Caenorhabditis elegans: one gene and its partner. The protein of the gene in region 2 interacts with the protein of the main gene of each other region in a biochemical or structural test. Each region holds a gene or a part of one and is shown on either strand. Other genes may lie near its edges.

Region 1 (4,874 bases), on a different chromosome or scaffold from region 2:
TTTTTCCCATTTTCTCTTCAAACATGATGATTTTAATTGTTTACTTTTTTATTAGTTTCCAACTTCACGCTGTAATCATTGCTTCAATCATCAATTCAGATTTTCAGAACACTATTGTATTAAAAATCGATGATTTTTAAAAGTTTCAGCATTATATTTTGATGATCCTAAGTTCCTTAAACTTTCAATATGTAACACCGATTGTTTTTTATAATATCTTTTCTGTTTCCAATTCAATTCAATTATGTTCTTCTGTTTTTTTTCTTAAAGTTTATTCATATTCTTTGAAAACCATCTTATCGGCTCTTCCACAACTCTGTTTAATGTTCCCCGTTAATTCTGCCCGCCAGGCTCAAAACCATGTAGTTGTATTCTTACCAATTTATATGACTTCTGAAGTTTTACCCATCCATTTTCTTTCAAATATATTAAATCTTATGTGTTTTGTTGCTCTCTTTCAATAAATTACGCATCCAAACAAACCGTCGGAACAAAAGACACTTGTGCAAAAATAGTTCAGTATTCCTGCAACACTAAAACTAAACAGAAATCAAAACATCAACTTTATTATAGTACATTGTAACTGGTAAACATTGAATGCATCATCAGAACACAGAATATTTTTGAAAGTTTACCGAGAGCAGTAATAATAAATTATGCTGGGCTGGACAGTATGGCATTGGGGAAAACTCAGAAGAGGGAAACCGTTGCTCAAGAAATATCAGAAAATGAAAATGTCACCGGGTACCATGGTGAACATTTTTTCCACAAGTTTTACTTACATACATTGCGAATTACTACGATCTACATATCACACCGTAAGGGGGTGTGCTCCGGCGGCCTTTCAGATGCTCGTCGATTGCTAACCATCAATACTTCAGTTGATGAATTCTCACGCAGTCGCCCAAACATACGCATAAGGCGTAGGCGATAAATCTTCAAAGTATTGAATATAATGTGGCACAGTGGGAATATAACTCACTCTCTGAGTCCAAATAGTGATCACTGGATTAATCATGATACCAACGATTAAAAGACGGAAAAAAAGGTTGGTTGCAGTTTTGTAATAATTGTTAATTTGACATGTTTCTCCACAAAAAATACTGAATAGGTACAAGAGCCGATACGGAAGACACGTGAAGAAAGTCCATAATGTGCTGGAAAACAAGAAGAACAGCCGACGAAACAGTTTCTGAAAAAAAAACTATCGTTAAGAGACTTTGACTAAATTTTGAATACCGATCGTTGCCGCTCCTCCATATGGGTCAAATTGTGAGCAATGCAGTAGATCAAAGCTGATAAGGAAAATGACGTAAGAATCATTACGACATAGAATATGGGGCTCAAAAGATATACATAAGGATTAAGTGATACTCCAAGACAGCTTCCCTGAAATTTTATTTTAATTTGAAAAGGCGAAATTTGAAATTTTTCCGTTTTTTTTTTCAAAATGTCATCTACATGGAACATTTTCTAAGTTGTATTTCAGAACTAACTAGTCAGCTCTTCATACCTAAGATACCTACATGTAAATATTGATTTCAATATTATTTCCGTGGGTCTTAAAAAAACTCCAATTCAGATTTGATCAGTATTTCGATTTGCAAAACTTTTATTAGAGGTTTTGATACTTGTGTAATACAGCGTATTTCATTTTCTTTTTTCCCGACTTCAATAGACATTTATAAAAAATCATCTCACCGCGCGTTCAGCATTTTTTTAAATAAAATGTTTTGGTATGAAAGGTGAAAGCGCGGCAGGATCTCTTTGCAAAAAATGTGCCTCCCTTTAAACTTGTAGAGGAAAAACACAATACGCTATATAACTTAGAATGTTTTGTTTAAAAATGTATTGTTAACTTTTAATATGATGTTTTTTAATATGGTGTATAATATACAGGTACCATCTTCCTTTTTGAAACTTTCAGTTTACGTTAATGTTTTGGTTTTTTATCGTTCAAATTTATGACATTGCTGTATTTTGTTTCAATATCTAATTTTTTTTCTTTTCAAAACTCCATTCGTCGTGATCAAATGTTTTGTTTTGCAATAAAAATAACTTACTCGAGTTATTTTCAAAAAGGTGACAAGTGCGATGTTCATTGCATAAAGTCCTCCCCATGTCGCTGCAGTAATCCATAAAAGCCGTTTCCGATTCACAATTTGATAGTAATGCAACGGAAATTGAATGTAGATCAGCTTGTCAACATTCAACCTAAAATAGAAACTACTTTTTCATGACACCATTTTCCAAAAATCGTACCAAACGAGATTCAAGCAACTGCACATTTGACACGTCCAAATGATAACATAGTAGGGATGGCAAAGCCAAAGATTAAAATGTGAGAGCCATGGGCGAGTTTTCATGTACACAATACACATCAAAAGATCCGCCACTGTCATGTTGATAACAATTATCTGAAAACTGCTTTTGTAAAGATCGTTCTTAGCTCAAGATGTATGAATTTCGATCTATTTCTTTTTTAAAAGAGATTTCCTACCTGTCTAGGCTTATCTTCCGTATTGATATATGTGAGTGCAATCCATAGTACTAATGCGTTGAAAACTGTACCAACAATGCCACAACTGATATAAAACGCCGTTTCTCCTAATGTTAAGTTTTCTACAAATGGTTTTGTGACATTTGCAATAATGTCCGTTGAGTTCATTCTGAAATTTGTTTTGTTAGAAAAAAGGTCGAGATAAGTTCACGGCAGGAAAAAAGAAACAAAAAGGGTCCGCATAAAAACTCACGAAAAAGGAGAAGAAAACACAAAGAGTGTCAGAAACAGGACAGAGAACGATGAGGTGGAAGAATTAGATTACTCTGATAGGCTTGTTGAATTTTAAACCAGATCCTTCAAAGCACTTTTCCATTCAATGATAAAATGTGAACGTGACATCATTATGTCAATTGAAAAATATACATATGTGTATGCTCTCACGTAACTATTATGTCTTTTTGGAAAAAAAAAGTGAGAAAATGTGTCTTGAAACATGAGCTGATTGTGAGGCGCAAGGAAAGTAGGAGAAAACGGGTATGGTCAACCTTCGTCTTCTGTCCAGATAAAATGAAAATAACTGGAGAGATATATAGAGCATGGGGAGCAAAAATCTATGAATGCTTTTTTGCATGTTGCATAATTGTATCTGCAGAGCATTTGGTCGCACGTGACACCAACACTACAAAAACGTTTTGCTCTAGTGATGGCCAACGCTTCAAAGTTTACTGAAAAATGAGGATTATTTGACTAATTTGTGAATGACTCGTGAGGCCCTTCTTTTCTTTTATAGAACATTTTCCGTCTTTATTGCACCTAAATGGTTTTCGATGAGCAATGGGTATAATTGGTATGCCGCTTTTTAAGTGTTCACCAACGTGGGTGGCAGGATGTATTAAGGACTTGGTTCAATATTCGGGTAACAGAAAAAAATAAAAAAAGGAAAGGTTATTTATACATGACAACACTTCTATTTTCATATTCAGACTTTTTTTTCGGCAGAATGTAACGTGATAGTTTCTCAAACATTGATACCTAAAAAGAAGGTACTTATATCCATGGAAAAGTGTAAATGGTAAGACTAACTATAAAGGGTCAAAATCCAGCACAGTGTCATTATCCATATTTAGAAAAATTTATAAAAAACAATATTTATGATTTGGTTCAAGAATAATATTCCGCTAGATTTCAGGAAGGTGAAAGCAATTTTTTTTAAAGCAATCATCTTTAAAAGTTTAAAAAATTATCATGCACACATACTCAAACACATTGGAAGTAATAAGAAAAGTGTCAATCTATCGTACTATCATCAAATTTTCCCGAATCAAGGGCTCACAAGATTTTTTTTAAATTTCAGGAATTCATCGTGTTTCTAAGAATACGTAAGTGTCATCAATTGAAATGTTAAAACGGACCAAGGAATATGGGTGGTGATGAAGGGAAATGAGTGAGCGAAATGTCTAATTAGAATCGTCTGGATTGAGGAATTGGGAAGTGAGCACTAGAAATCGTTCAGGACATGTGGCTTTGAGCCGGTGGCCTTGGCCCTGAGCACATTTTATTTGTTTCTCTGGAAAGGGAGCAAATGGTCTCCACTTTTTGAGTGCAATGCTGCAGTTGGTTTGACGGAAACACTTTTCGACGGTTTCATAAATCTTTCAAGATCTATCAAGTCGCTTTCGGAGTTTTAACAGATTTATATACGAAGTTATAAGGTTTTGAAAAGTGGGTGGAGAAACATACTATAGTGTGTTTAATTTTAAAATTGACTTTTAGCCTCTTTGTTTTGTATTGTAAACTTTGAAACTTACGTGACCTAGTGCCATTTGAGAGCATTAATGAGCGCTTGGCGATGTTAATGAAGAACAAAAAAATAACCTTTTCATATTTAGAAGAACAAAGAACTTGCAGCAAGGTGAGGCTTTTTCTTGTCCCTCTTTTTTAAACATTCATATTTACTTTAGCATTTTCTCCTCTTTTCTTGTTTCTATTAACGAGGACATATCTCGAATCACAACGTATGCAAGTGCCCACGATTCTTATTAGAAATGCAAACGAGTATATAAAAATCTGCGTTGGCGGCTGGATTTGCTGGATTTGGGTTGGGAATAACCTCGAGATGTCGAGACGCACTGTTGCTGGGTACCACGTTACCCAAAGTGTTCTAGCGGGTAAACATTTCACAAGAATGAGTACGCAGTTGAATTCTCGAGAAAATGAATGTGTGGAAAAATGAATAATAAAGTGAAAGAAGTGACGGAGTCAATTTTTATAAACGTTTCATAAGAAAGTAGCGAGAAAAAAAAAGAAACGGAAAGATTTTAATTAAATTAAGTGACGTGAAGGTGTTTAAAGCCTATAGTGTTTTTTTTCA
Region 2 (7,985 bases):
ATCCTGGATAAACGAAAAATTTTCAAAATTGTTCAGAAAAAAAAACGGGATACAATACACTTTTCAAATTGGTTTAACTGTACAGTCTGGAGAAGGTGGAGTAGCTTGGATGGGAATTTTACTTTAAAATGTGCTATCTAATCCTAAATGCCGAAATACCACAAAAGAAAAACGAAAAAATCCATTAAGTTTTAAAAAAATCGGTCGATGCTGGCTAATTTTCAATTTTGACTATTCTACCCATTTGAATTACCGCGCGTTTGTTCGCTCCGCACTCCGTAGATTTCCATCCGCGCTATTTTTTTACTTCCGACGATTTTAATTTTAAAAAAACCTTTAAACGACTAAAACGTTTCTGAAAATTTTTTGAACGAGCTGAAAATCGATAATTACTTAAGTATTGATTTTCTCGTCGAATTTATTTTGAAAAATGATTTTCCGCGCCGAATTTAGCCTTTGCGCATTTCTCGTGGCTCTCTCCGCGTGCTGAAGGGTGAGAGACGCAGAGAGCGGCTACTGACGCGTTTCTCGACGCAATTATTTTTTGAATTTATTTTTTTTTGAACGATTTTTGCTCGATTTTCAACCATTTTTCATAGTTTTGTTTTCATTTTTTATTGATTTTCTGTCTTTTTACCTCTATTTTCACTCAAAAACTACTGAAAAAACCTGCCAACATGCTGAATTTATTCAGTTTGTAAAATAGTCCATTAACATAATTTAAAATCACATCCGTCTTCGTTTAGAAAAATAATGATAAATAAGAAATTGAAGAAAATAATTGATAAAAAGGGGTAATCGAACAATATTTAAACCTTTTGAGAGTTCGGGGGAAAATAAACCATTTCACAAATAGAAGAAGCCAAGAAGAACCGAAATTTTAGTTGTCAGATGGATAATTTAAAGTATTTAGGGCAAAGAATATTTATTGGAATTGATTACGAGCACGAAGATCCGCCAAAACTTCCTCCGGGTTGACTCCGAGGCGTTCTCCGGCTCTCAACACTTCGGCCAAGCGGGCTTCGATTGCGTGGAGCACTGAAATTCGCCGGTTTTCAGTGAGAATTTTTAAAAAATCGATAATTTTATGGCTTTTAGATTGAAAAAATCTGATTTTCGAGAGTTCATAGCGTCTAAACTACTTTTTCTCGGATAAAACTATTTTTCACTATTTGCTGGATTTTGTTGTTATTTTCTCGAAAAATCTTTATTTTCTTCATTTTTTTCGTGGTTTTGGTCGAAGTTTTCGTTAATTTTTACTCAAAAATGACAAGCAGCATATTTCTAATTCGGTTGTTCAGAAAATTTCGGGAAAACTCAACTAAAATCGGTTTTTTAACCTGTCTGACCTTAAGGCGACCTCCGTCATCATCTCTAAGTGCACTTTTTCATTTCTTAATTTGGTTTTCAGCAAAATGATTGACATTTTTTGGTGTGAGGCGGACAGATTCCAGGCAGGCGTCAAGAAATCGCGCCTGCCTACCATGGAATACCTAGATTTTGGACTTTTTTCCTGTAAATTTATCGAAAAATCGATATAATTCCCCCGAAATTTCCAAAAATTTAACAGTCATCACGAGTTCATCATTTAAATAACTGTCATACTTTCGAGAATCGAGACCTATACACTCAAAATAAAAAAACTGCGTGGCGTGTACTGCAGAAAACCTCATAATTAGGCCCCGCCTTTTTCTCGTCCACTCACGGAGAAAAGGAAAAAATTTGGGGACCAACAATATCAGGCCGCCGACTTCCTACGGGTTCCGCGCGCCGCTATGTTTAACTCGCAGCGGGCGGAGACAGCTCGCCACACCCACAGCGAGTTAAACATAGCGGCGCGCGGAACCCGTAGGATGTCGGCGGCCTGATATTGGTTGGTCCCCAAATTTTTGCCTTTTCTCCGTGAGTGGACGAGAAAAAGGCGGGGCCTAAATATGAGGTTTTCTGCAGTGCACGCCACGCAGTTTTTTTAATTTGAGTGTATTATCATGCAAAATTTCGCATAAAATTGACTCCTTTCTCACTTTTCCGTCTCTACACTTTTATTTTCGAAAAAAAAGTGTGATAAGAGAATGGGATGACGCAGGAATGTGTGTACCTATTCCGGGTTTGGAAGAGAACGATCAACAAAAAAATATTGTTTGTTTTCCACTGCACGGGGAGAAATTATCGATTTTTTATTGGAAAAATTCGAAAATCAATTTTTGCTGAAAAAAATGACAAAATTCGTTTTTTTCCAAAAGATTGTTCCTTTTCGAGCAATCAATTTTTATTTCGGATTATCAAAAATTCAAAAACTCCGAGCAGCTTGGCCGAGTTTTCTCTTTTCCGGCCACCACCACTAACTTACATGGAGCTCTAGAATCCTCATTGATCATCGACCGCTTCATCGGCTGCCACGCGACCATTCTCTTCTGTGGAACAAATCCAAGGAATGTGTCGGCTGCTGCTGGTTGCTCCTTTTGCTTCACATCAACTCCGTTCTCTTTCTCCAGACTGTACAGTTGCTCCTGAAGAGCACGCAGCTTCTCCTCGAGACCTGCCGGAGCCGATGGAGCCGCTGAAAGTTGTGTTGTTTTTTATCCTCACATCAGTATATATCAACATATGGGGTTGCGTATTGCGCAACATACTTGGCGCGCAAAATATCTCGTAGCGAAAACTACAGTAATTCTTTATATAATTACTACGTGTGGATTTACGGGCTTGATTTTCGAAAATAATTTTTTGAGCCCGTAAATCACCACATACAGCGTGTCATTTAAAGAATTAATGTAGTTTTCGCTACGAGATATTTTGCGCGTCAAATATGTTGCGCAATATATACGCATTTTCAGAATTTTGTGTTCACGTAATAATTAGATTTTTTGTTTGCTTCGCGGTATTTTCAAGTATTTCAACAGAGAAGCCAGGGAAATTTGGTTCAAAATTCGCAGTATTCCAATTTTCAAACAATTTGAATCGATTTTTCTCGGGATATGTGGCGACTTGTGGAAACTTGGAAACTTGTGGAAAATCGGCCGATTCAATCTAGATTTGAGCCAACTTTTCAAATTTTCGTAATATTTCGACAAATTTGAACGTTTTCATCAGTTTTTGAAGCGCTATTAGTTCTTCTAGGGTAGGCAGCAGAGCTGAGACCAAAAAAAAATGTTGGACCAAAAAACAAAAAATTGAAGTTTTTGAAAAACCAAAAAAAACCAAAAAACAAAAAAAATTGAAATTTTCGAAAAACCAAAAAAACCAAAAAATTTTTGATGCTTAGGTTAATTTTTAATGGGGTTATTTAAGTAATGTTGCAAAATGTATCAAAATACATTTATGACGTCACAACTGTGTTAAAATACATGTTTTAATGTATTTTTAATACAGAATAGTCTCGAGTCGAAACTAGACACGCCAAACATTTTTTTTGGATTTTTTGGTCCCAAACAACCAAAAAAACCAATAAATCAATTTTTCGTCAAAATACCAAAAATAAAATTGTTTTAAAATGTAGTATTTGTACTCAAACTTCTAATTATTGCAAAAGAAAAACGGGAAAAATCCGTTGACATTCAGCATTTAGCCGTTGAAATCGACGAAAGTGACGGAATTTGAATTTCGCGCGCAAATGAATCCTAGGCCACCACGCGATTTCTAGGCCATATTCGTAAACAAAATATTGATTTAAATGTAGTTTTTTCGGAATTTAATTCGTTTTTTTCTCAAAAAGTTATAGAAAACTGGGAAGAAGGAATTGTATTAAGTTTTTTTTTCAAAATACAATATCAAAACAAATTAAAATTCGAATGAGCGTCGTGGCCTAGGATTTCTCTAGTTAAATTTTAAAGATTTCTTCGACTTAAAATGCTGAATGTTAACGGATTTTTTCCGTTTTTCTTTTGCAATAATTGGAAGTTGAAGTACAAATACTACATTTTAAAACAATTTTCCCATTGACGATACTCCTTTAAGAAATGAAAAAAGTTCACGTTTGTTTCAGCTTAAGGTACGGATTGGGGTGAGAGACAGGGCGCTTTAACGCCTACATGGAAGTCCTAGTTGTTATATTTCGAAGGATTTGAGCCAAGTTTCCTGCTCTTTTTTGCAAATTTTCGCCGTAACCTAATTAAACGTGATTTCCAAATGATCATTTCTATGCTCTTTCATCGCTCCTATTTCCGGTCTAAAACATTCGAATCCCATTAGTCAGGGACCGGTGCTCTCCCTGCCTGGCGTGAGTGCTCGATGGGCACCACACCTAAAAAGGGTGTAGGAAGATGAAAAAGGTGATCATAGAGTGCTTTTTCATACACGCAATCGTTTAGATCTTTACACTTCACTGACGACAACATATGTGTGTCTCGAGTGGAGATGAATTCCCCCTCCTTGTCCTAACAATTTGTAAGGGGGAGGGAAATGTCTGAGGTACCCCTGTGTGTCGATTTACGGAGTCCCATCAGAAGCTGACATATTCGTAGGATTTCCATGCGGGCGCCAGAAGGCGACCTTCGTCTGTCTCGTCACAGTGCAGAAATGAGGCGAGAGACCGGCGTGAGGCGGGCAAGTTGGAGGCAGGCGTCAGGCCTGGAAACCGCGTCTGACTCCCATGGATCAGATTAATTGAAAGTCTACCTAATTCACGAAGCCTATAAGTATTCCGTTTCTAACAGATCCGACTTACGCCTGGAATACTAATTTCCCAGATGTCAAGTGATTCAACTTTCAAAGTCCATATGAGAAAAATTTTCTCCATATCCATATGAGAAAAATTTTGATATCCATATGATATCCATATGAGAAAAATTTTGACTTTACCCCTAATCCTGTTCTACTCGGCCATATAGAAGAAGAAATACAGGAAAGTACGAAAAATCGATATTATGCTCCGCCTCTATCATGGTTTTCATCAGTGTTCCAGGAACTTTGTTGGCCTAATGAAACAACCGGACACAGGTTTTTTTCGCAATCCAAAAAATTTGGATTTCAAAAAGTCTAAAAAAAATAATTTTGCTCAAAATTAATGCAAAAAGTATTTCGCACAAGTATATCCCAGCCGCAAGATTTTGCGATTTTTCGCGAAAATACCGTAGCCGGTCTCGACACGACAAATTTTTGCTTGACCCAAAAAATCAATGTGCCTTTAAATAGTACTGTAATTTCAAAATTTTGTTTGCTCACTAGGGAATGGTCAGCTTAGGGGTGAGGTACCTAGAGACGCCACATATGCCAAACGGAAGCTGAGATCATTGGCTACAAGAATATGCTTTCAAATTCTGCAACGGACCTCTGGGAGTCTGGAAATTCTTGTCTGAAATTATGCTTTTGAATGCTCGAAAGTGGTAAGAATTTAGAATTTATTACAGAAAAACGTGAAGTTGAATACCTAGAAAAGATGAAAATGTGTTTTGATACAGTGCATACAGTACTTGTTTCAAGTATAAAACTAATTTTATTAATTAAACGTTTTTCTGTAATAAATTCTAAATTCTTACCACTTTCGAGCATTCAAAAGCATAATTTCAGACAAGAATTTCCAGACTCCCAGAGGTCCGTTGCAGAATTTGAAAGCATATTCTTGTAGCCAATGATCTCAGCTTCCGTTTGGCATATGTGGCGTCTCTAGGTACCTCACCCCTAAGCTGACCTAGTCAGAATTTTCATTGATTTTTCATAAAGAAGAAGTCGTGAGAAAAACGATGAATTGATGAAAATTAAGCAGAAACGAAAATTCGAAACTACATTACTCACTGCTTTTCGAATTTAACAAAAATATTGCCATACCGAGACCGGCAACTGTATTTTTGGCGGAAAAGTATTATCTAAAGCATAAACTCACCAAAAACCGCAACTGTCGCAACAAAAGATAGCAGAATTACGAGTTTCATGTTGATTGTGTATGTTTGGCTTACTGTAAATGAAATTTTTTTTTTCGAAAGAAACAATTATAATTTTAAAAAATCATACGTTCTTCTCGATCTCTAGAACCGAAGAAGTTTGGGTGGCGCTGGAGGGTGACGCGGCAAGAATGAGTAGCTCTCGGAGCCGCCGTTCAGGCCACGCCCTGCTCTAGGGGGCGGGCATGCGCAACAAGGGCCGTCACGAGAAAGAGAAGGAAAAAATAAGGATGACCTATGTGCCCTTCTAGAACATTGAAGATAATCAAAAGCGATGAAAAATTGATGACGTCATCAGCTCGCCGCGAAAAAAGAGCGGCGTTGCGCGCCAAAAGTGTGAAAGACTGAAAGTGTTATCAGTACCATGTAAGATAGGGGGGGGGGGGGGGGTTTATGTCGAGAAGGCATACACAGGTGGAGTCTTTCAAAATTAGACACAGAAATTATTGGAGAAGAATAGAGCGGGGCAAACACTATTTTTGGGTTTCCGTGTTTTTTTTTCCGCTTCGTTTTCTCTTCCAGTGACGCATTGTCTCTGAATTGGAAATACAAGAGTCTCACCTATACCTGGAGGCCTCCATGGAGGTCGTAATGTTTGTCGGAGTAGAGTTATTACGGGAAAATATTTTACGCGCAAAATATCTCGTAGCGAAAACTAATGATTACTGTAGCACATGTGTCGATCTACGGGCTCGAATGAAATTAAATTAATTCAAATCATTTATTTATTTATTTAGAATATTAATTGAGCGAAAAAATGTAATTAAAAATTCATTCCTGAAAATCGAGATTCCGTAAATCGACACAAGCGCGCTACAATAGTCATCAGTTTTCGCTACCTTAAAACTTGCAAATTTCCGCGACTTTTCAAACCAATCAGCGACTTCGAACTCCGCCTACTCGATCTGATTGGCCGGAATATGGGGCGGAACGAATCTCTGTTCGGTCGCAGTTCTAATTTTGGAGGGAGTTACGGACATAATTTAATAATAGATTAAATATTAGAAGAAAACAGAAAAATGGCAAAAAATACGAAAAGACTATACCAAATTGAATATGGCTGTCACAATTCGAGCAGAAATTCGTTTCGAGAATCGAGCCCGTAAGTCAACACAAAGGCTACAGTAGTCTTTTGAAGAATTGCTGTAGTTTTCGCTGAGCGTCAAATATGTTGCAGCAATGAGAGTTACAAACTACAGTACTCTTTAAAGGTGCATACCTTCACATTTAACAAAAATAGTCGTGTCGAGACCGTATGCCGTAAATCGACACTGATAGCCGTGGCCTAGTTTTCCAGATTTTTCTTGTGTTTCTCTTCCATTAAAAAAACGCACATGTCTGTTTATCTTTCTCGTAATAATTTTCCCGATGAACTAGTAAATATAAATATCTCATTTCCAGTATCATCATCATATCCGTGACCTCTCGTCTTTTCGTCACAAAAGTCTCCAGATTGCTCGGAGCAGCTGTCACAACATCAAAAATGAGCTCTTCATCATCTTCTAGAATTCACAATGGTGAAGATGTTTATGAAAAGGTACAAAATCAAAAAGTTCGGCCAGCACGCAAATCTTTTGCGGAGAATTTTAGACCAAAAATTAAAAAAAAAACCGAAACATTTTTTGAAAAAAAACTTTTTTATTTAAAATTATCGAAAATACTAAGTTTTTCTGAAAAAAGCTGAAAATTTGAAAAAAAAACTCTATAACATGTAAGAATTTTTGAAAAAAACTAAAAAAAAAATTTTTAAGTCTCAAAACAATGTTTTCAACTATTCTCTTTCAGGCGGAGGAATACTGGAGCCGCGCGAGCCAGGACGTCAACGGAATGCTCGGCGGATTCGAAGCGCTTCACGCGCCCGACATATCGGCGTCGAAACGATTTATTGAAGGACTGAAGAAAAAGGTATAGAAATCATCGATTTTTCAGGAAAAGCAAGAAAGATCGGTTTAAAAAATTATGAAATTTTATTTTAAAAATCGAAAAATCAACAAAAAAAATCGAAATTTTAGAATTTTTCTAAAATCGGTAGTTTTCGAAATAAAATAAAAATGTTATTTTAAAAATTATTTTAAAAAATTTCGAGAAATTCAAAAATCGAACAGA

The links.
Region 1: the proteins of nlp-40 (region 2) and aex-2 form a complex in vitro, tested with the Caenorhabditis elegans proteins (2 studies listed by BioGRID, with this or other methods).

Annotation. Positions count from the first base shown.
Region 1 is NC_003284.9:9,650,448-9,655,321, forward strand, and holds aex-2 (G-protein coupled receptor aex-2), read right to left. Parts: upstream 2,670-4,874; 5' UTR 2,669-2,669; coding exon 2,501-2,668; intron 2,418-2,500; coding exon 2,263-2,417; intron 2,215-2,262; coding exon 2,064-2,214; intron 1,390-2,063; coding exon 1,240-1,389; intron 1,193-1,239; coding exon 983-1,192; intron 937-982; coding exon 805-936; 3' UTR 552-804; downstream 1-551. UniProt on the Caenorhabditis elegans protein: G-protein coupled receptor for the nlp-40 neuropeptide. The activity of this receptor is mediated by G proteins which activate adenylyl cyclase.
Region 2 is NC_003279.8:9,526-17,510, reverse strand, and holds nlp-40 (Peptide P4), read right to left. Parts: upstream 6,017-7,985; 5' UTR 5,950-6,016; intron 5,894-5,949; 5' UTR 5,871-5,893; coding exon 5,822-5,870; intron 2,561-5,821; coding exon 2,351-2,560; intron 1,039-2,350; coding exon 926-1,038; 3' UTR 674-925; downstream 1-673. Other genes in the region: homt-1 (Alpha N-terminal protein methyltransferase 1), read left to right, coding at 7,363-7,416, 7,665-7,784.